Lonchura striata: one gene and its partners. The protein of the gene in region 2 binds, or shares a complex with, the protein of the main gene of each other region. Links are inferred from orthologs where the notes say so. Each region holds a gene or a part of one and is shown on either strand. Other genes may lie near its edges. The genes, in order: KLHL2, WNK4 and KLHL3.

The links.
Region 1: the proteins of WNK4 (region 2) and KLHL2 are in contact, whole or in part, in a crystal structure (PDB 4CHB), measured with the Homo sapiens proteins. The link is inferred for Lonchura striata from reciprocal best matches to the Homo sapiens genes WNK4 and KLHL2. Residues at the interface, in NP_115763.2 of Homo sapiens: Glu557, Pro558, Glu559, Glu560, Pro561, Glu562, Ala563, Asp564, Gln565; in NP_009177.3 of Homo sapiens: Arg345, Phe361, Gly363, Ser364, Leu365, Arg366, Thr392, Phe408, Gly410, Ser411, Thr412, Gly413, Ser438, Ser439, Tyr455, Ser487, His504, Arg534, Tyr583.
Region 3: the proteins of WNK4 (region 2) and KLHL3 are in contact, whole or in part, in a crystal structure (PDB 4CH9), measured with the Homo sapiens proteins. The link is inferred for Lonchura striata from reciprocal best matches to the Homo sapiens genes WNK4 and KLHL3. Residues at the interface, in NP_115763.2 of Homo sapiens: Glu557, Pro558, Glu559, Glu560, Pro561, Glu562, Ala563, Asp564, Gln565; in NP_059111.2 of Homo sapiens: Arg339, Phe355, Gly357, Ser358, Leu359, Arg360, Thr386, Phe402, Gly404, Gly407, Ser432, Tyr449, Gly451, Ser481, His498, Arg528, Tyr577.

What each region holds. Positions count from the first base shown.
Region 1 is NC_134606.1:38,848,175-38,855,784, reverse strand, and holds the start of KLHL2 (kelch-like protein 2), read left to right. Parts: upstream 1-4,586; 5' UTR 4,587-4,726; coding exon 4,727-4,749; intron 4,750-7,610. UniProt on the Homo sapiens protein: Substrate-specific adapter of a BCR (BTB-CUL3-RBX1) E3 ubiquitin ligase complex that mediates the ubiquitination of target proteins, such as NPTXR, WNK1, WNK3 and WNK4, leading most often to their proteasomal degradation.
Region 2 is NC_134627.1:6,218,705-6,226,439, forward strand, and holds the start of WNK4 (serine/threonine-protein kinase WNK4), read right to left. Parts: upstream 3,002-7,735; 5' UTR 2,987-3,001; coding exon 2,534-2,986; intron 1-2,533. UniProt on the Homo sapiens protein: Serine/threonine-protein kinase component of the WNK4-SPAK/OSR1 kinase cascade, which acts as a key regulator of ion transport in the distal nephron and blood pressure.
Region 3 is NC_134617.1:7,838,135-7,845,156, reverse strand, and holds the start of KLHL3 (kelch-like protein 3), read right to left. Parts: upstream 3,044-7,022; 5' UTR 2,951-3,043; coding exon 2,937-2,950; intron 1-2,936. UniProt on the Homo sapiens protein: Substrate-specific adapter of a BCR (BTB-CUL3-RBX1) E3 ubiquitin ligase complex that acts as a regulator of ion transport in the distal nephron.

The DNA of each region.
Region 1 (7,610 bases), on a different chromosome or scaffold from region 2:
TGAATTTTACAGAATGAATCTTATCCCTTCAGCTATTTTCATTAAGTATGTGTCATTCTTAGTGCTCCAGCACTCCATACAGGAAAAAAAATGCTAAAAAAGACAAAATATTTTAATCCATGCTTAATTGTATTTCACTGATTTTGGTCACAGTACAATTTCTCTTTGATAGCATCTGCTTTGCTATTCCTTATTTCACAATCCCAATTTACATGTTTTATTTTTTCTCTCTCTGCCTACTCTCCAGTACATATTCCTCTGCAATCTGGTCCCTTTCTCAGTCTGCTGCATGTGCTTCCTTGCATTTCCTTTCCATATTACTTTTCAGTGTAATTCTTCTCAGCTGCATTGATGTCCTTAGCTTGATGGTTCTCTGAAATTTTAAATATTCCATGCTTCTGAAACAAGAAAAAGGAATCTCTTCCACTAGAGTGAGGCCTTTTAAAATTAGGCAATGCTGGATTAATGCTGATATTAATACTAGTGTTTAAGACAAAAGAAAGTAGTAATAGCTAGTGTCTGTGTTGAACTCAAGTCCTACCATGAATTCCACAAAGGTCCTTGTGGATTTGTTTAGATAGAGGGGCCTGGGCTGAATAAAGGTCTGCTGCGGGATGATTATGTTATTGAGTGTGAAATGCTTGGGGAAAAAAATGCGAGTGTGCCCTCATGTATTTTGGATAAATGCATACTTATCTTTACATAGATTTTGTACATAATTTACTCACAACTCAATTTAGTAGGATACAAATATAATGGATAATCTAAAAGCTAACAAAGTGAAGAAGCACATTGTTTTTCTGTTTGAAGCCACAGGAGTATGGAGAGGTACTTAAGTATTTGATTCTAGAGTCCTTCCTTTCCTCTTCCCTTTTCATGAAAAGAATCAGCAGCATGTCCTCATAAGCATTCTACCCAAATCCTTCAGAAGTTATGACTTCTGATATCTTAAACAAGAGCAAATGTTCTTATTTTCTGTCCTTTTTTGGAGATGTCTTCCTAACCTATATTTGTCAATTAAAAATAAGTAAGAACCTATATCAGTGTCCTCTGTGGCTAAACCTAAACCAGATTTCTTCTAACACATCAGTATAGAGCATGATCACTTAAACATGTTAATAAACCACCACATATGTATGCAGTCACATCGACTTTTACCAGGATTAGTTATTCTATTTGTAGGACCATAGAACTTGTGGGACTATCTTGTTAGCAAGCAGAGCTCTGCTAGCATAACTTCATTTTCACTGGATGCAATTCACTAATGGATAGTGTCGGAGTTTCAGTATCAGTAAAGTATTTCTAGTGTCAATAGAGCTGAAGGAATGTGTGATCCTAAGTAAGCATTGGCCACATTCCTTTGTAACTCACTAAAACAAGTGGGAAAGTACTAAGAATTATTACAGGGACAGCCTGAAACATGACAGGGAATTTTCTCAGTAAATGCAGTAATTTGAATTGCTGCAGCATAAACAAAAATGGCAGCTGTTTCATCAGAGATAAGATATATAGCCCATTTCCTTTCAAAACTACATACATACACCCACAGACATATATAAATAAGTTTTTTCTCTGAAAGTTCTTTTCTAAGAAGAGATATTGGATCAAGCAGAATCCCATAAAAATCTAGGCATTGTATTTAAAGGATGTGTTTCCTCATGGTTAGAGATATAAGTTGTTTTGCCATAACCACATAATGTATTTTGGATGAAGCAGTTTTTGCTTCGATTCCTCTTGAAATTACTGAATTACAAAGATATAATTTTCAGGAAAAAAAATTGAACTTTGCCCTATTTGTTTCTTTCTGATGCTCTGCATCACAGAAATTAACTGAACTAATGTTGAACATTTGGCTCTGAAGCCAAAACAATACTGCAAGAAAAGGAGAGAAGTCACAGGTTGGCAATGTTTAATGTTAAGAATAAATATTTGTACTGGTTTTGGTTGAGGTAGAGTTAATTTTCTTCACAGTGATTGGCATGGACCTGTGTCTTGGATTTGTGCTGAACAGAGTTGATAACACAGAGATGTTTTTGTTATTGCTAAGCAGGTCTTACACAGACCCAAGGCCATTTCTGCTTTTGTACAGCCAGGCTGGCGAGGAAGTTGACAGTGCATGGGAGGTTGGGAGGAGACACAGCCAGGACAGGTGGCCCCAACTGACCAAAAGGACATTCCCACACCATGTGACATCATGCTCAGCATACAAAGTGGGGAGAAGGAGGAGGAAGGGGAGAATATTTGGAGGGATGGTGTTTGTCTGCTCAATAACCCTTATGACAGGGCCCTGCTCTCCTGGATGGCTGAACACCTGCCTGCCCATGGGAAGCAGTGATTTAATTCCTTTATTTGCTTTGTTTGTGTGTGCAGCTTCTGCTTTCCCTGTTAAACTCTCTTAATGTCAACCCATAAGTTCTCTACCTTTTAGCCTTCTGATTTTGTCCCCAGTCTTACTGTTGGGGGAGCAAGCAAGTGGCTGCCTGGGGTGTGGCTCCTGACTGGGGTTAAACAACAACAACAATAACATTGCTAAACAGTCCTGCAGTGTTAGCATGGAGCAGAATCTGCACAATCTGCAGCTGCCCACCTACTTGTGCAAAGAGTGTACAAAGCCCCTCGGCTTCCAGACCAGCTCACAAGTTTACAATAGTCTACCATGGACCCTTAAACACACCACAGTAGAATTCACTTAGGTCTTATGGATCAGTAGAAGCTGGGATCCTTGTCTTACGAAGTGATGTGTCCAGGAGTTTACTCTAAATTACAGAAATTTGAAAGTGTGATGTGACAGTCATCATCCACTCTCAGATCTACGCAGGCCATATCTGCTTATGAACTCAGACCTTGGACATGCTGTGCTACGTGGAGCCAGCTGAATTTTAAACCTCCATTTCAGAGAGCATTATTTCTGGCTGGCTCCTTTGGAGCAGACTTCCCTGCAAGCAGGTTTTGTTGTGTATTTAAATCTTTAGCAAGTACCTTGTCTTCTCCAATACAACCCAGAGGCAAACTTAGTTGTCTCTTGAGAAGAGATAAATTCAGTAGTTACAAAGCACAGACTTCATAAAAACCGGCACTGCCAACTGTGATTATTTAATTTAGAAAAACCTCCAGTGGTAACCCATTGAAAAAATGTTGAAGTGTTCCCAAATCAAGCATTGCTGTAGTTAAAGAGGATTGGTAAACTGAGAAAACAAAAATGGCATTTTCCTAGTGAGGAATATTACTGGAAATTAGCAAAAATGAAAATAACAGAATAAAGTACATTTAGTTTTAATAACCAGTGATTTTATTAGAAACAATGGTGAAGGCTTTCAGCATCCATCCGTAAGTCTTCACCCAAAACACTCCTGCCATTTTGTTTTGTGTCTTATTTGAAATACGCTGCCCTAAACTTATCTCACTCTTAGAAAAACAGTGCTGATCAGTTATTATTAGATTTATTCATTGAGAGATACTATTCCAATTTAAAATCTTTTACTCAGTGAAGAAGCATTTTAATTTTACAGACATAACCAGATTTAAATATCTGAATTGTGTTCAGCCTGCTAAATCCACTTTCCACTACCTGATTCTTCAAAGATTTGGAAGCAATTTACAGATGTTTAAATACAGTAAATTCTTCTCTAGTGCCCCAAGTCAGAAGTTGCTAAATGTAGCATTCTTGATCATTACTTCAATTAGTGTTGTTTACAGAAACAGGTTTGAAATAGATGCCTGTTCATTTTCCTTTTTGCCATTTTGCATCACAGAGGCTACTTCAGCAAACACTGAAGCACAACTCAAGTACTTAATGATCAACGTTAGCAATGTTTGCAAAACACAGGAGGCCAGGTGTTTTGAGCGGCAGTGCTCCTGCTGGACTCGATCAAATAAAAGACTACGACATTCAGCAGGTCACAGCGAACTAGACCCTGCTCAACTCCTCCGTCCCGACGCAGTTCTGCTCTTCCCTTCGGCCCCTGCTCGAGCAGAAACCACCTGCACGACCTGGTGTCGGGCCAGCTCCTTGGCTGGCCTGCCAAGGTGCCCATGTTCCTCATGGAGTGCCCCTGCTGGTGGATTTTCTTACTAAGGAGACCTGGGACTGCTTTAATTGTTTTTCCCCGGTGGGACAGAGCACCTGCGTGTCCCCACGCCGGCGCCCCAAGCCAGCCTCGCCGGCGCTGAGGCCACGCTGGCCCGAGCGGCCCGCGGGACGTGTCGCTGCGCAGGGCGGCTCCGGGCGTCTCTCCGGCCTGCCCTGAGCCAGCGCTTTCCCGGGAAGCGGGAGACGCGCACAGGGCGCTAGACCCTGGCTCATCCCACTTGGGGGCCACGCTTCTTTCAGCAAGGGCAGCGGCGTCTCACCCCCCTTCCTAAAGCCCCTGGGCCGCGGCTGTCCCCCCTCCAGGGGGAAGGCTCCGGCGGGGCGGCCCCAGCCCACCGCGGGCTCCGCAGCCCCGGCCGCACCGCAGCCCCGGCCCCACCGCAGCGCACCCCGCGCGGGCCGGGCCGGGCCCGCGGCCGCCGCGCCTGCGCACGGCGGCCCGTCCCCGCCGCGCCCTCCCGCGGGCGGGCACCCGGAAGCCGCAGCGCCGGCGGCTCCCGGCGGCGGCGGGGCTCGGCCGGGCGGGCGCAGCCGCTCCCCGCTCCCCGCACCAGCGGCGGGGCAGCGCAGCTGGCATGGTGCTGGCGGCAGCTCGCCGCGCCCGCGTTGCACGGAGGAAGCCCGAGCGGAGCCGCGATGGAGATGCTGCTGCCGCCCGTGTGAGTGCGGCGGCGGCGGCGGGGCGGGCGGGGAGGCAGCCGGGCGCCCGGAGCTCGCCGGGACGGCGGCGCGGAGCGGAGCTGTGCGGTCCGTGGGCTGGGGCGGCGGGTCGGGCCCGGCGGCGCAGCAGCGAGCGGAGGTGCTCGCAGCTCGGGCGGGCCCCATCGTGGGGAGCGGTGCCTGCGGATGGGGGACGCTCGGAGCCGGCAGCGGGGCAGCGCCGGCGGGAGGGTCGTGTCGGCGACCTGATGGCGGAGCCGGTGCCCGGCTGGCCAGCTGCCCCGGCCAGCGCGGCCGCCCGGCGCTCGGAGATGCCCGGTTGTGCCGCTGCGGTGCCGGCCGCGGGCGGGGGAGCGGGCGCGGAGCTCCCGCGGGCGGGCTGCGCTGCCGGCACCCCCGCCCCGCCGCCTTCCCCTGTGCCTTCCACCTTGTGGGGACAGGCGGGCTTTTTCTCCCTCCTCCCCCTCACTCCTTCTGCTTCCTCCATATGCGGTCCCAAATTATTCCTTGTTTGACTCAGCAGTCGTGCTTATCTCACTCCCGGTTTTCTGGTTATTTAGTTAAGCATCTCTTTTAGTGGCAGTGCCCAGGCGATGCACTCCAGGCAGCCATCTCCAGCTGCACCTCAGCTGGCCTCCCCAGTCCTTTCACAGGCTCCGGTTCAGTGCTACTTCATCCTTTGCCTTCGGTAGGTGGATTTCAGGCGTGCTGTGCTTAAGGTTCTTGAGAACAAACCGAAGGAAACCAGTTACAGACAGCTCTGACCCAGCTGGCAAAATGGTAAGAGAGACCCCAGTACTTCAGGCAGACTGGCACTTCCCAAAACAGAAGGAGTATGACTGATGGTTTTGTAGGGTTCATTACCTTAAAACAAAGTAACCCTTTGTGACAAACTAATGAATTCGGTGAATTAATTTACGCTTCATATGAACTCCTCCATCTAATCCAGGGTGCTTGGCAGCTCTTTATGGACAACTTGATCACTTTTTTTTCCTTGCATAGCTGTATTTGATGTGTACACAGCCTGTATATGTATGCAACTAAATAGACATCAGTAGCTGATGCATTGTTTTGGGATGTAGAAAGTTGCAATGAAAGTGTTCTATCTTGGACTTGATAGATCGGTGGTATAATTAAAAGCTGGATCTCTTCCTTATAGGTGTTTGGTGTTCTGAATATTTTCTGCAGTCATTGATTTCTGTCTATAATTTTTTGGAATTCTGATCACAACATATGTCACATAATGTAGAAAAGTAACCTTTGGTCTAAAGGAGTTTGCTAGACAGAATGTAATTTTTTTTTTTTTTTTTTTTTAACCTCTGTGAAGTAGCATATGTGTGTGCTGAATAGCATGTAACTTGTGTGGGGTTTTTTTTGATGGATGCAGAATTCCTGTCTGTAATTTGTCCTTTTTCATTAATTAATTGTATACTTTTCGAAATTGAACATGGAACTTTTGATTCATATCAGTTTCATGATACACTGTAGTAAGTTGATAGTACTTAGAGTTCTGTGGCTGGATGTTATTTGGTTAGTTTTATGGAAACTTTTTACATTCCTTTGTTAATTGATGCAATTTTGTATTTCTTTGCTCCAAAATTTTGTAGCTACTTTTGGGATAATAAAAAATAAAGTCAGCTACTTGGCTTTGCACTATTGCAGTGCACAGAACTTAGAGTTCTAGGTTAAAATCTTAAATTATTGTTGGATTTTTTTTTTTAAGTTCATTAGACATGCCCAATTAAAAAGTTTCAGGTATAGTAGAAGAGAGGTTGCAATTATGTGAGTCACTGAATATGTTCAGTTTGAGTGTGCTTACCTAATGCTGGCAAGGCTGAATTTTCATTTGCAGTCAGATTGTTGATGTCCCAGGGCTTGTGGCCCCACCAAATGACTTTTCAGTGCCTTTGCTTATTTTCAGCTTAGAGGTTCAGGAATACAGTTAAAATACTGTAGAATCAAGCATCACTGATGCTAAGCATTTTCTAAGTGCTACAGCAACACAGTTTGCTTTGTAAGAACAACATTGTGACTGTAAGCAGGAAACTCATTGATTTGGTTTGGCATGAAAGGCCTGCTTGCTGTTTGGACAGTCCAAGTGACTGAGGAGTGTATATGGTAATTTTTCTAGGGAAGTTAGGGTATGTAGAACTTGGGGTATGTCTTACAGAAAGAATGAATTGTAGCTAGAGGCAATGATTTTTCACACTGCCTAGTTCTTCTCTTGCTGTTTGGAGTGGGGTTTTGAGAGTAACAAAAATTAAGAGGCTGGTCATTTATGTACATTATGGTTTTCAAAACATCGAGTGCATTTACAAAAGTACACAACTTTTCTGTCACCCGTGTCTTATGCTGTGGCTAGGGAAAGCCTGGATAATTACAGTAGTCATTTTGTGGTCTTCCTGTCAGAGAAGAACTAGGAAACAGTAACTGAGGTCCTGATAGAAGGGCAGAAAGGAGCTCTTACCTGACAGTGAAGGCATGAAGAGGCTGGGGTGACGGTTGCTGCGTCTGCCATTGATCTATATGGGCACTAGGAGAAAAGTTCCCAAAACTCTTAATTCTTCTCTCACTTCAGAGCTTATTGGAAATATTCTAGACTATTTCTCCACTAAATAAGATAATATTCACAAAACCAGAAAACATCTTCATGTTTTCTGTAGTGTAGATTATTGCTAGCCTCTCACAATGTCACTAGTATTAGTCACCAACTTACTACTTCTACAGGAATTCTACCTATTCCTCTACACCTTTGGTAACAGGGAAACTAAAATTGCTTGGAGTAAAGAAGCAATTTCAAATGCAAATCTTCTCCCCAAGATGAAGGTGAACAAAATAAGAAGTGACATCACTGGAGATT
Region 2 (7,735 bases):
CCTGCTTCCTCTTTCCCCACCGCCCGCAGCACCTAGGACAGAAATAGTGCCAGGCTAAAGCTGGAAAGCACAAACAGTGGGGCTGTGCACACGGGCGGGAGGGACAGACAGACGCTGCCTTCAGGACAGGGGACAGGGATGGGCAGGTCCCCCGAGGGGTCTCACAAGACAGGCAAAACCAACCTCTGCCTCCCGAGCTCTGAGGAGGGAAGGTCAGGGCAAGGACAGCAGGGAGAGCTGGGGTTGGGGACTGGGATCCATCACAGCACTGAACCAGGTTCTCTGGTGCAGAACAGGTCAGGCCTGAGGTTAAGTACTCATTTGGAATTGAAAGGTAATAGAAGGAGAACTGTGAAGTGCACACGACAAAGCTATTTTTAAAATAGCAGAACCACAACCATTTTTATTTGTGGTTCCAAATCCCGTATTTGTGTCACAGTGTCCAATTTTTGCACGATTGCAGAAAAAAAACAAACTTCTAAATGTCTGCATCTGTGCTCTTAGCCCCTTGTGGGACACAGATTTGGGTACAAGAGACAGTGGATAAAGAGCAGTCAGTGGAATTCAGCCAAACACTGGGTGGGGAGGGCAGGGGCAGGCACGGGTGGGAGCAGGGATGTGACTGCACTCCCGTGGGAGGGTGCAGGACCAGAGGGGTCAGGTCTGCACCCAGCACTATGGGATGCTCACAGGAGGGTCCCTGGCAGGAGCTCAGCCTGCACCCCAGCCTCTCCACAGCCACCCCCAGGGGACAAGTGAGTGGTTCTGCCACTCCTGCCTGGCTGGCTCGCAGGACCAGCAACGGGCCCAGCCTGTGCCTGCTGGACTGGAGCACTGGACTGGAACACGGAAGCATTTTGCTTCCCAGCTCCCTTTTCCCTTCCACCTGAGTGGTGCAGGCTCATCCCCTTGGCAGCCCCTCCAAGACAGCAGCACTGCCTGCAGGGAGGAGCAGGAACAAGACCTGCTGCCAGCCCTGCCAGCTGTGTGCCAGCCCCAGGGCAGGGGAGCTGGGCCACGGCTGGGCCATGGGGCTGAGACCCACAGGGAGGGACACGGAGCCAGCTGATGGGAAGTGCTGGGCACAACTGACTCATCCAGGGAGGAAGGTCCTGAGTTCACCAAGGAGAGCCTGTTCCAGTCAGTGGTTGCCACCTGAAGGGATGTAGGACTCAAGAGAGCTCAGGGGCCTTTGGACAGAGCTGTGAGGCTTTGTGAGAACTGAGCTGGCTCTGAACTGAACTCTCAACAACAGGAGCAATTGTGGAATCCATGGGGGTGAGGGGCAAATCTTCACCTTCCTCACTACGAGGCCATAGTCAGCCCTCTAAAAACCACCCACCAGTCTCTCAGGATCTCTTCTTGCTCTGCTGGGCTGCAGCCACTCCAAGGACCCAGCCCTGGCAGCCACCTGCAATTGCACTGAGCTTTTAGGAACAAGACAACAAACTCGAAAGACACGTTTTTCTGTGTCAACAAGGACTTGGACCTTCCCACCACAGCAGCCATCCCAGGCTCAGGAGCCTGAGGGAGACTTTGGACTTCACCAAAACCCCTCCCCGGGTGCTCCAAGGAGAAAAGGCAGCCCCACAGCACAGATCTCCCTGTGCACCTCCATGGACAAGATCAGGCCCATCAAAAGCACTTGAGTGAGCAAAGGCATTGTGGAGGCAACACTATCACCACTGCTCTCAGCATGCTGCTGTCAGGCTGCAGGACAGCCAAGGAGATGGAGGAGTGTGGCAGCAGAGAGGAGAACAGGGATGCTCCTCAGAGACCTGGAACCACAGGTCCAGCTCTTCCAGTATCCTGCCATCCCCTGGCAACATCACAGAAACCACTCACAGGTGGCCATGTACACGACTTCAGCCAAGGTCAAGCAGGCAGAAAGCACCAAGGTCGTGTTGTACCCTGTTCCCAGCTGACAGCCAGCCCCAGCTCGCTGCCCCAGGGCACACCAAGGGCTATCGGAGCAAACCTTGGAGGCAGCTCCAGCACAAGCACAGGCAGGCATGCAGAGAGGGCACTGCTGCCCTCGCTGTCCTCCTGGAGGGAAAGCTGCGAGCTGCTGAGCATCGGAAAGACAGTGGGATGGATGCTCAGCCCCAGATCCACCTGTTAAGTGCCAGAGCAGGGACTGGCATCAAGAACGTGGGCACATGCTCCATAGTGCAGGCAGCAAGAAAGCAAATGGAAAACAGCACGTGATGGGCAGGAGGGCCAGGAGCGGCGGCACTAAGCAGGCAGGAGTCTGCGTGCGGGCCAGCAGACCCACGAAGCACCGAGGCACGGGCAGTGATGGGCACAGCGCAGGGCAGAAGCAGAGGCTCGAGGGTGCCCGCCCTCGCCGGTACAGGCTCCAGCCCGGGAAGCGCCCCGCGGGTCCCACACAGCAGCAGGGTCAGGGCCGGGGAGGGCTGCACATGGAAACTGGACAGAAGAGGGTCCAGGTGCCTCTCTCCAGCCCCTTGCCCCGGGGCGGGGGTCTGTGGGTGCGGGCAGACAGGGGCGGAGGCGCTGGCAGGGGCCGTACCTGCAGCTCGCACCAGGCCACCTCCACGGTGGTCTCCGTGTCCAGCCCCTTGTAGACGGTCTTGAAGGAGCCGCGGCCGATCTCGATGTCGAACTTGAGGAACCGGCCGTCGGGGGAGGTGGCGACCGCCCGCGTCTCCACCTCCTCGCTCTCCGTCTCCTCGGGTTCCCGGAGCCCGGCAGCGGCCGGCGGCGGCGGCGGCGACCCCCCGCGCTCCCCGTCCGGCGCCGGGTACCCCAGCAGCTCCAGCTCGGCCGAGCTCCGCCGGTTGAAGCGGGAGGAAGCACGTCGGGAATCGCGCCCCGAGGACCGCCGGCTGCGGTTACGGTGCGGGGCCCGTCCGGTGAGCCCCGGAGCCGGCTCCGGCTCCGGCTGCGGCGCGGAGCCGCTGTCCGCCCGCTCCGCCTCGGGATGGGACATGGCTCCGGCAGCGGCGGGCTCGGCCGCCAGCATCGGCTCCGGCCCGGTGGGAGCGGCCGCTCCCGCGCAGCTTCGCACCCGTGGCCTCCGACACCCCGCAGCCAGCAGCGACCGCCGAGACCCGCTCCGGGCACCGGCCCCGGCACCGCCGCCGCCCCGCCCGGCGGCACCGCCCCCGCCCCGCCCGGGTCCGCCCCCGAGCGACCGCCGCCCCCCGCCCGCGCTGCGCCACCGGCCCCGCGCCGGGCAGGGGCACCGCACCGGCACCGCACCGGGCACGGCCCCGGGACGGCGCCCAGCTGCAGCTGCGGACACGGGCTGCGAGCGGGGCCCCGCGCCCCGGCACCGCTCCCGAGCACCCGGGATGTCCCCTCCCAGCCGGGGGTCACCGCCTGGCGCCCACCGGGTCCGCGCTGTCCCCGGGGCTCCTCGCAGTCCCCTCCCCGCAGGACAGCCCCGTCCCTGCCGCCGCCCCCGCGGGGCTCCGGGGCTGCTGTGACTAACGCAGGAATGTCCCCGGTTCAGACATTTCCTCGGAGTTTCTGAGCCTGGACCCGGAGCAGCGTGTGCTGGAGCAGCGGAGAGCCGCTGCCGGGACGCCGGTTCCCCCCCAGACAATCCCGCTCGGGTTCACTGCGGTCCGAAATCCTGAAATTAGGGTCACGCAAATAGGAAGAGTCGAAGGTGTGTGTCAGCCCCGCGGGAGCCAACAGCCGGACAAGAGCGTGTTGTCTCTCCAGGCTGAAGGAGAAGGTTGTTCTGCCGGTGAGGCTGTTTACATAAAACACAAAGCAATTGAGGCCACCGCAGATTTCTTTTCCCTGAGGCCAGATTGTTTCTACTCAACGATACCGGAAACATTAAGGAGTGGATCGAAAAGGGAACGCAGTCGTGGTCTCCCAAACGCCAAGCTGGCACCCGCAGGGTGATGCCGGGTGACTGCGGTCAGCAGCTCGGCTGTGGCCACGTCCCGCACGGCTGCTCCCCACAAATCCCCGCTGGGGCGGGGACAAGAGGGAGGGACAAGTATTTAATGAAATGTTCCTGGCCGACCTGCGTCTCGCTGATCTCTGCTCTGCTAACCCCACCCGACCCACCTCCTCCTGCCCCAGGAGACAGGTACCTCCTTCCCAACAAGGAGTTTGATCGATGCCACCCTGCCAAGAGCTGCTGGAGCAGAACTGGCCGGAGAGCAGGGAGCAGCAACCACATCCCGACTCAGCCCTGCACTCCTTGGAGCATGTCAGGGGCTTGGTCCCAGGTGAAGAAGCAGCGCTGGCAGAACACCGTGTCCAGCCCCTGCAGGGCTGTGCCTGCTGCTGGGGCACCGGGAGCCCGTGGCCACTGGAGCCAAAAAGCCAAGACTGAGAGGCCACAGGTGCAGTGCTTGCACTGGCCCTGCCATGGGTGACTCTTGGGTTGTAAGATGCAACATGGCTTGGCTCAGCTCTGTTAAACAATGCTCTTTGTTCAGGTGAGCCTTACCCAGAACCTTCTGAGCATGGCCAGACAGTGGGGCAAGCTGCTCGAGGCCCTCTTGGTTGACTCTGGCTGCCCCCACACAGAGGTCCCTGCCAGGGCCCATGCACTGCTCAGGCTGGCAGGGAGCCCTGCTTCTCCAACAGGAGACACAGAGCCAGGCAGGGACCTCAGTTTGTCCCCGGCAGGCTCATATCTCCTTATCAAGGGTTTCCATCGTGAAACAAAATGCCTTGGAAGATCCCAGAGGAGCAGGGGAGTATCCCGGTCCAGTGAGGCCCCTGCAGACAGGGGAGGAAATTAGGGGAGAAGTTTGCTCCAAGTGCTCCCCTCCCACACCTCCCTTGTGAGTGGTCTGAGAAATTCCCTAAATGATCTCTCCAAATGCCACTCCACACCAGAAGTTGGTAGAGAGGTGGCAGCTCGGGCAGGGGAACAGATCCTCTCCTGACCTGGCCAGGAACACCAATCTGCAGCCAGCTTGGCCTGAAACCAGAAGGCTCCTGTTCCACAATCAGGCGCCCACTGCAGCTCCCCAGCATTATCAGGGTGACATTTCTGGGCTGCAGGTGCCAGTGCCAGGCTTCACTTTGAGGAACCGCCACAATCAGGGAACATAACCCATTTCTCGCCTACATTTGGCTGCCAGGAGTACAAGGCACTGTGTAATCACCCTCCTCAGAATTAGATCATGAATCAAAGCCCTGCTCAGCTCCAGGCTCCGCCAAGCCCTGCCAGGAATTGTCCATTCTGACCCCAGAGCTTGGGGCAGGATCACAGAGGGGCCAGGATGGGTCTGGACAAAGGGGATGCACAGCTGGGGCTGCAGAGCACAGGGTGCCTGTCCTGGGATGCTCCAGGGACACCCAGGGCTTATTTCACTGTTACCTTCACCACCCCATACCCACGGGACCTTCTCTCTCTCACTCTAACTCATGTGAGTTCAGGGAGGCAGCGATGGCACTGAAACCTCAGCTGTGGCTGTAACCCTGGGCAGATCACTGCAGAGGATTTCCTCAGCCCAGAGGCACAGATGGGACCTGCCTGCACGTTTTTCCCAACATATAAAGTTATCAAACTGAAACAGTTCCTGCTCCTAAGCAGCTGCATTAAAGAAAATCTTTCTCAGAATCTTTCCTCCTTGACCAGTGGGATCTGAGTGTGCCCAGCCTGATAGTGCCTTATCTTGGCACCAGCCCCTCTGAGCTCTGCCTCACCCTGGCCAGCGAGCCCTAATCACCGTGGCCAGATGTGGCAAGGGCCTCTGAGGGGCCACAGGCTGGAGGGGGGGGTTGTACTAGCCACCCCCACCCCCCCAAAACCACCCTGAGCCACCTCCTCCAGCGAGCCCCTCCCCAGGGCTGTGTGGCTGGGCTGGACAGCACTTCACAGAGGGACATCTGCTCCCTCCAGGCTGGCAGCAGCTCTGCCACTCTCAGGACCCATCCCACGGCCTCAGCAGGGACACCCTGGCCTCAGCAGGGACACCCTGGCCTCAGCAGGGACACCTCTCTGCAGCAGCCCTGCCCAGCCCAGGGAAGCTGATCCCACAGGTCCTCACAGGCATGGCTGGATGTGGCCTCTGGTAACCAGAGCAGAGGGTGTGGAAAAGGAATTTTATACAATGTCCACTCTGGAAAGGGGACGTACTCTTCCTCCTCCTTCTCCCCCCCCCCAACTAAGTAAGCAACTAAATAGGAAGCTGAAAAAGAGACGGGAATTGCTGCCAGGAGTGCCTTGGAATGAAAAGCTGGTTTTAGGCTTATCTAATGTCACATCAGCCATTTCCTAAGAAGGGAGCAAATTTAATTAAGAACACAGACTCCCTCAAGGACAGCCAGGTTACATACAGCACTCCCAGCCTGGAACACAGTGCTGGGAGGTCAGCATCGTGCACACAGGCAGTGAGAACAGACACTCCAGCCCGGCTGCTGAAGGATCATTGTTTGGGATCAAAGGCAGACACCTTCAGGCACAGCACCCTGGCTCCCTGCAGGGCTACAGGAGCAGCCAGGGAGGGAAGGGGCAATGCAGGTGGCATGGGGAGGAAAGCAGAGGCAGATCTTGGACATGGAAACAAACCCAGGGCAGACACTGGGAGCACATGAATCCTACACAGAGACTTTGGTGGCTGCAGACAGAGAGGATGATCCCTGATCAAGCAGAGGCTGTGCCAGTTTTGTGGGGACAGATGCACTGCAGGGCTCATGGCACAGCCTCTGCTGCTGGGTTTGCTCAGAACCCTCAGTGGCAGGACCATGACAGAGCTCCCAGGGGTGATGGTCCTCAGAAAGGAGACCCCACCAGCCCATCATGTCAGTGACTCAGGAGCATTGCTGGTGCCTTTGTTCAGCACAGAAGTGCTGGCACTCAGGAATTCCCCCACAGCACTGCTGAGCCTGGCATGGAGAGGAAGCCTGGGCTCCTGCCACAGTTCCAGAGCAATGTGCCCACACCAGGGCAGCACATCCCACCAAGTGTACAGGTCAACGGGCTCCTGCTACAGAACAAATTTTCACATTTCACAGCCCCTAGACTCCAGCATCTCACCTACACTGAGAATTCCCCCATGCTGACATCAGCTGTCAGGAGCAGGTGAGCCAGTGCCAGGTTGCCCCAAGGGCAGGGAATGCCAGACAGGGGCAGCCTGTGGCGTGCAAGTGCCATCTGCTCTGCTGGACCCCCAGACTGACCACACTGGTCTGACCTGAGGTCACTCCAGCCTGCCCCCAACCTCTGCCAGTGACATACAGACAACGATCAGGGAAAGGTGACCCTGCCCCAGCACAGCCATCTGCTTCCCCAGGGCTGACAGGGTCAGCAACTGCACCTGGCCACAGCTTCTGACAAGTTGGGGACTTTGTTATCAGCACTGAGAGCCTAAAGCTCTCCGAGCCACAGTGGTACAGAGCTTACCCCATCACCTCTGCACAAACCCAGGGGCTTCCAGCAGGCTGCACATGCAAATTTAAAGTAAATGTTGTCCTGAGAAGGGCAGCAAGGGTCCCCTTCTCCTTTATTCTTGTGGTGTTTCCCACCCTGGAACCACTGCATTTCCCTGGGGCAGCAAGGAAATATGACTGAAGGACAAAAATCTGGTACGCTGCTCTGTTTTGTCTCTGATGGAAAAATAAAGATAGATGAAAACAGCCAGGCTGCTCTATAAATACATCTCATTTTAATCACCTGAAATTAGTTCCCTGGCTTCCCCCAGCCTGCTTGGCAGCAAGTGCATTTCCTTCTGCCACTGAGGGCTTCCACAGCGTAGCAGTAATGGCCCGTGCCCTGCTCCTGCCTCATCCC
Region 3 (7,022 bases), on a different chromosome or scaffold from region 2:
TAGTTTTATTCCTTTAGTCAGGCAGACACAGTAAAGAAAACATGAAATGGCATAGTTATAAAAATCTCTATTTCTGAATTTGTCTTTAGGTACATACAAAGACATTAAAAAAAAAGTGATTGAAGGGATCCACATGTTGAACTGGGTTTTGGGAGGATTTCAGAGAAATGTATTATCATTAAAACATATGGGAGGCAGAGTAATGGAAAGGATTATTTTTCTTTTAATAGCAATATTATTTTCCTATTTTGTTGATTTTTTTTCAGTGCCTAGGTCAACATGGAGACATTAGCTTAGGAAAACACACAATTGGCATACAGCAGATCCCTAAAAGGGTTTTCATATCAAAGGAGACCTCAGGGGGAAAGAAGACTTTGGGAACTAGTGAGAAGAAAAGTCTTTGCTGACACTAATGGAAACAACATGAAATAACTCAAATATGACAATACTATTTGCTTTCAAAGACAAATATTGTATTTCTCAAACAGATACCACAGACTACCTTAGCTTGAATATAAAACCACAGGTGTTTTAATATTTTAACAAAAAAAAAAAAAAAAAAACATTCCAGAGGGTTTTTTTCTATTCAAACTCAAAAACATCTTGCAAATTCAGAACCAGAGTATCATGCCTAACTGTAAGCCTTATGCAATTTCTCCATAAAATAGAAGTACCGTCATTTTACTCTCAGCACAATAAAAGAAAAGCAGGACTCTGAAATACTTTAGTGCCACATGTGAATGTTTCAGGTTAAATCTCCCTTGCCCTCAGGTATTTCTGCTCATGTGCAATGCCACGGGCACATGATACCACTGAACATCCTGGGTGTGAAAGTTAACAGGATATTTGAGTCTGGGCAGGCTCGGGACCAGTCAGAGGTGAAGTGAGCACCAACAACACGGATCCTCACTGACCACAGAAATGGAAAGTGCAATAATATTAAAAACCAGGGGGAACTCTGCCATAAGGAAATCCACCAAGTATAAAATTTGAGGACCAATCTGCCCAACACAGATGTGAGTTGAAATGTGGGGCAAAAGCACAGCAACAAGCCCAGACCGAGTCCACGGTTTTGCTCACCCAGCAAAGTCATTTTCAAACACCTCCTCCCAGGACTTGCTCCCAGCAGCCAAAGCAGCCCCACACACACTGTGCCCTTTTGAACCAGAAAGCAGGTGAATATTTCCCACTTTTCTTGCCAAGAATCAAATCCCACATCATTACTGCCCACAATCAGTTCAGGACCACCTTCCTCTTCTCAAAAACTAGAAATGAAAGCAGGAACTTGGGTAATCATTCCTCGCTTCCAGAGGCAGAGAACATGCTGATGGGGATAGTCCTTCATGCCCTAAAAACAGATGGTCTGGAAAAAAAAGGGTAAGGTAAAACAGTCCAGGTATTTTTCAGTGGCTTTTTCACTGTTCTATCCACAGAAAAAGGCCTCCAATCAAAATAACACCATTGCTGGTAGGCATCAAAAAAAAAAGTAACAAACAACTGTGCCAAGGATGAGCCCAGTCTGGGGTATCAAAACAGCTCTGTTCTACTTCCTCAAACACAGGCTCATTTATACAAATAAAGAAAAAAAAAAAAAAAAGGAAATCCCATTCCATGAGCTGGCATCTAGAATTACAAACAAAGATTTCAAGGCACTTGAAATTAATTAATATTTGGATGAATGTTCAGAGGTGACTGTCCGCACCATTTTGGGAAGCAGAAGCCCTACAATGAGAAATGTGGCAGGATGAAAGGTTTTGCACATTAAATACACAAAAAATTGCAACCCTTGAGTCACAGAAGGGTAGAAAGCTGCCCTTTGGAGCTTGGAAAACAACTCCTACAGGCTGCTGTGAATGTTTTCCCTCAACAGAAGGAAGATTTCCAGAATTTGGGGGTTGACTCCAGCTTAATTTTCTAATGTATCATATTTAAACAAAACTCCTGTCAAGCCCTGATATTTAGTCTTACCAGCAGTCAAGCCCCCTCTCTGTTCCCCCACCCCCGGCAAGGTCACCAGCACAAAAGAAAGCACTCAGCATATCCTGTTCTTAAAAAATATTGTAAAAAAAACCCAGACCAGTTTAATGCTTAGTTTGAAGAAGCACAAGTAGCTTCTGGTGTGCAAAAGGCACCTGACAGAAGGGAGTAATGAGGGCAGAGGCAAAACACTGAACATCTCTCTGGCATCCACGAGGTCCCTGCGCAGAATAATATCTTTTATGGGTTCAGTGGACATTAGTAAACACTTCTTCACGCAGGCTGTGGAGCAAACCAGCTGCCTGGCAGCAATTGAAGCCTACGGGGCCCGGCTGCCGTGCGCGGGATGCCCTGCACTGCCCTGACACCGCACAGCGCCCGGCTTCCACACACGCCGGCAGGAAAACCGACCCCAAAGGATCCACGGACGATGTGGATTTTCACTCGTGACTCAGAAAAGCAGCGAATATCAGCGAGTCTGCCTTGAGCGGAATGCCGAAGTCGGCTGCCTGAGGCTCCAGGCGTAGGCAGGGCACTCACAAGCCCAGCACGTTGTGCCGGCGGGGCAGCTTCCCACCCCCTGCCCGGCATCCCACCCCTCTGTCCGGCATCCCACCCCCCTGCCCGGCATCCCACCCCTCTGTCCGGCATCCCACCCCCCTGCCCGGCACCTCCATTTCAGCGAGCACCCCCCGACCTGCCTCCCTCACGTCCTCAATCACATCCCAAACACATCCCACGGAAAGCCCTCCGGTGCCTCGCTGCGGGGCGAAGCCGCCTGTCACCATGACATTGCAACATCCACGAGCATTGCGGGCGCCCGTGGCAGGAGGCATTCCTGCCCGCAGCCGCGCCCCGCATTCCTGCGCACGGCCCCGCACGGCCGGCACCCCGGGGAAGGAAGGGCATCCCCATCCCGCACGCTCCGGGCGGACACAAAGGCTGGCGGCGGTACCCACCTCTCCTCCTCCATCGTGCGGGGCGGCGGCGGGGCCGGCTCAGCGCCCCGGGCCCGGCATGGCTGCGAGCGGCCGCCGCCGCTTCCTGCGGGAGCGGAGCGCTGCGTGCCGGCGCGCCCCGCCGCACCGACTGCCGCGGCCGCCGCGCAGCCCCCTCCTCTCCCCTCCTCTCCCCTCCCCTCCTCTCCCCGGCGGGGCTGGCGAGCGTCTCCGGGCAACGGCAGCACCGCCCCGCACCGCCCCGCACCGCCCCGCACCCGGCCCCGCTGCCGCGGCCAAATAGGTCAGGGCAGCCCCGGGCCGGGCCGGGCCAGCCCCGAGCGGGACCCGCCGGCCGCGGCACGGGCAGCGCCCGTCCCGCCGCCCGGGACTTGTCCCCGCGTGGCCCGAACGCTTCAGTCCCCGCCGTTTAGTGGCTGAACATCCCCGGTGCCGAGGTGAAGCCCCCGCACGGGGCACTGCAGGAGAGGAGAGGTGATGGTGAGGAAGGAGAGAGTCCCAGCCCTCTGAAAACTCCCCGCTCCCAATCAAGATCTTGCCCCCAATTCCTCAATTTATCAAAGCCTTGCTGTCCTTTATGCAGTCTATCAGGCCAAACACACCATGCATAGGCAATATGGGTCCCTCTCAACTGCAGGTGCTTTTTAGCCTAAAGCACTGAACTAAATTACATTTGTCATTTTTATTCCAATTGATACAGATGCACAGAGTTCTACAAAAATCTTTTTCCCCCCTCATTTTATTAAAAGATTTTTTCAGTTGTATTCTGCACCAGCGAGGCCTTAGAGGTTAATCATATTAAAGACAAGAAACACTTGCCTCCTTCATTACTCATCCATTCTCAAAATGTTCTTGTGCAAAAGGAAGAGATAACTAGAAGTATCAAGAGATTTCTCTTTGAAGATGCCATTTCATCTCTTTTGTAAATAAAATTACCTCACTCTTGTATATTTCTCCTCAAGCCATGTCCTCAGCCCAAGTTTTATATATCTTTTCAAAACCTATCAGCAATGATGATTGAACAGACGCTATTGTGCCTTCCACAGGAGGGTTTCAAAAGCTTGTTGAAAATCTTAACTACTCATCACCCAATTCTTCAGGTAAGAAAACTTAATAGACAACGTACCTGAAACTTAAAGGACTTTATCAAAGACACATGGGGATTGAGAGTCCTGCTATTTAAACTCCATTTGGCAGCCTACCCATAAACAAAAGAAATACAGATAAAGCCATGAAATCAAACCTCACAAAGAATTCAGGTAAAATTCCTTCATTTTCCCTAGAAAATACTGTTAAACTCTCAGTTTAAAACATGCATATCCTCGAGTACTTTCCCCATGTCCACTCTTACACTGTTGATGCACAACGTGCAAAACTGCAAGACACAAGTTCAAACCAGAGAAAAAGGAACTATATAAAATTAGTAGAATTTACCTCGGAAATGAGGGCTAGAGCTTGTTTCCTCTGAGTAAATCCCTCAGTAATTGTTAAAAGTCCAGATACAAAAGCAAGTCCTGAAACTGAGCTGCAAAGTCCCTGTGTATTTTTATTAACACAAAGTTTTTAAATAACAAAATATTAGGTTTTCACCTTAAAAATTTACATCTCACTCCAGTCAACCTGAGAGCTAAGCACCTAAATTGAATCAAACCAGCAATACCTTCTCATATGCTTTGCCCCACAGGCTTGTGTACCACTGAATTCTACAAATCCTGAAAGGTACAGTGACAGACAAGCAAAACAGTGAATAATCCTTGCTGGAGTGGGACAAAAGCATGTTCCAGTAGTCAGAGATTATCTTTACAGCAGCCTTGCAAAATAATAATGACTTGGTAACAATTCCAAGACAAAAACTTCTTGTTTGTTTTGAAGTACAAAGATTGGTATCTCGATAAAGCATTCAGCTAAATGGAATTAGTGACACCTGATGGGTGGAATTTTTCCAGCCTCTTTCAACAATTCCTAGTCTCAAGTAGTCAAAAATTACTCCTACATCTAATCTACCTTCCATCACTGAAAACCATATAACCAGTTCTCAGAGGAGAAAGGTCCCCAAAACACCTGTTCCAGCCAGTCCCACCATCCCTCAGCCCATCAAAACCTTTCCAGATTCCTGTGACAATTTTCAGATCTACAGCGAAAGACCAAAACCCCAATTCCAAGGAGCCACAGGGAGATGGGAGAGAAAAGCATTGCCAATGTCTCCACAGCAGTAAGGAATTTCTTCAATAAAAGTGGCATGAAGGGAGGGAATAAAAACAATCCCTACCAGTCTGGTCCAAAACTCTCTCCTGGCCCAAAATCCAGCAGCTGGTTTAATGCTGAGGTTATAAGGAAAGGACACCAAATGCTTACGAAAATTTAATTTTGTGAAGAGCCCCAGTACAGTCAGACAGCACCTTGTCAATGTCCACAGCCTCTGCAGAAGCCTGAAAGGTCACTTTGCCTCCCAAAAACCCAGCAGAAAGCAAATGGCATCAAATTGGGAAAAATCCTTCCTAGTTCTGCAAGGCAAACTGCAAGAGCTGTGAATCACTGGATCATCCAGCCTGGATACAGTGCAAGCAGTTCAGGAACACTTCACTCCCCTGTACATACCTGTTTCCAGGTATATACCAATGTTCAGGCTCCAGAGACCCATATCAAGCCATTTCCTATCTTTAGCAGCTCTCCTGCTTAGTTGCATAATATCTTTCACTAAATTATTCATTAACTTTCTTCAAAAATCTATGCTTTCAGCACTGAAGAGCTGGGAAAGGTGTAAATAAAACACTGTATTCACAGAAGCTTCTAAAGCTGCATCTTCACAGCCTAAATTATTTTTCATTCTGTTTTTTTTTAGAGATACAGATATTTAGATAAAAATATATGTTGATATATATAAACATATTTATTTTTTTCAATGCATATATTAGGCATATATATTTATCTTTGAGTGACCAAACTGATCTCACCCTGAAGCTGGTCCTGCTTTGAGGGTTCTTTGGACTAGATCATCTCCAGGAGTCCCTTCTAAATAAACTCCTTTTGTCATCCTAATTAAGTAGATACTCATTTAGATAGATCGGTATTTAGACCATATGATTTCTTGGAAAAGGTTCTGTAAGGATATTAAGATAAGAAAAGTAATATATAGGGTTATCTGCTGGAATAGTTGCCCTGGTAGCTCCCAGGCCAATTGCAGTCACTTGGTACTCAGGTACTGGCTCCCAAGGGGCCTGGAGATGGAGGTGCCTCAGCCGAGGAGTCCTGAGGGTATCTGCTGCCCAGCTGCTGCTAGAACTCAGTAACAAAACCAGACCAGCAGCTACAATTCACCTGCTGCAGCAGCTCCCAGGAATCCAAGTTCTCACAAGACTCAAAAGGATGCTCTGGGAGACCTCCCAGGTAAGGACCTTCCCAGGGCTGGAAGCAGGGCTGTTCTGGCAGCTGCAGCAGTCAGAGACTCGCACTGGAGCGCTGGTTTCTAAAGCAGCTGATTGTAGAGCAGGGGCTGGAGCAGCCAGGCCAGCATTCCCCCCGGGACGTGCATTCCGGCGGAGATGCTGCAGGAGCCACCAGCCTCTCCCGCGGCGCTCCGGGCTGTTGCCCTCTGCTGGCACACATCCCACTGCCGTGCTCCAGCTTCAGAACACTGTCTTCCTTTAGTCTTTTGTATAAATCACGATTCCTACAAAGAGCGGGATTATTGCAACAATTCATAACAACATTACCACCTTTAGGGCAACGACCCCTGACCATCTTCACCCCCATCTATGATTTCTGGGGCATGAGCCATTCCACTGCTCACCTACACAGCAGTCACCCACCAGCTGAAAATGCTCTTCCTGCTGCTCTCCTGACTCCTTCCTGGAGCATCAGTCACCTATGTCAGAGGCACACACTTCCTGCCCTGCAGTCATATTTATCAGAAATCTGCAGGAAGATTTTCAGATTGATTTTATTGTTTAGTGCTCAATGTGAAAAGAAAATCAGGAAGAAAGCTGTAAAAACAACTCTTGTGGGCACTGGAACAAAGGCCAGTATTCAGTTGACTAAATGCTACCAAGTTTCTCTGCCTCCTTAGAGACTCTGCACCTACTGAGT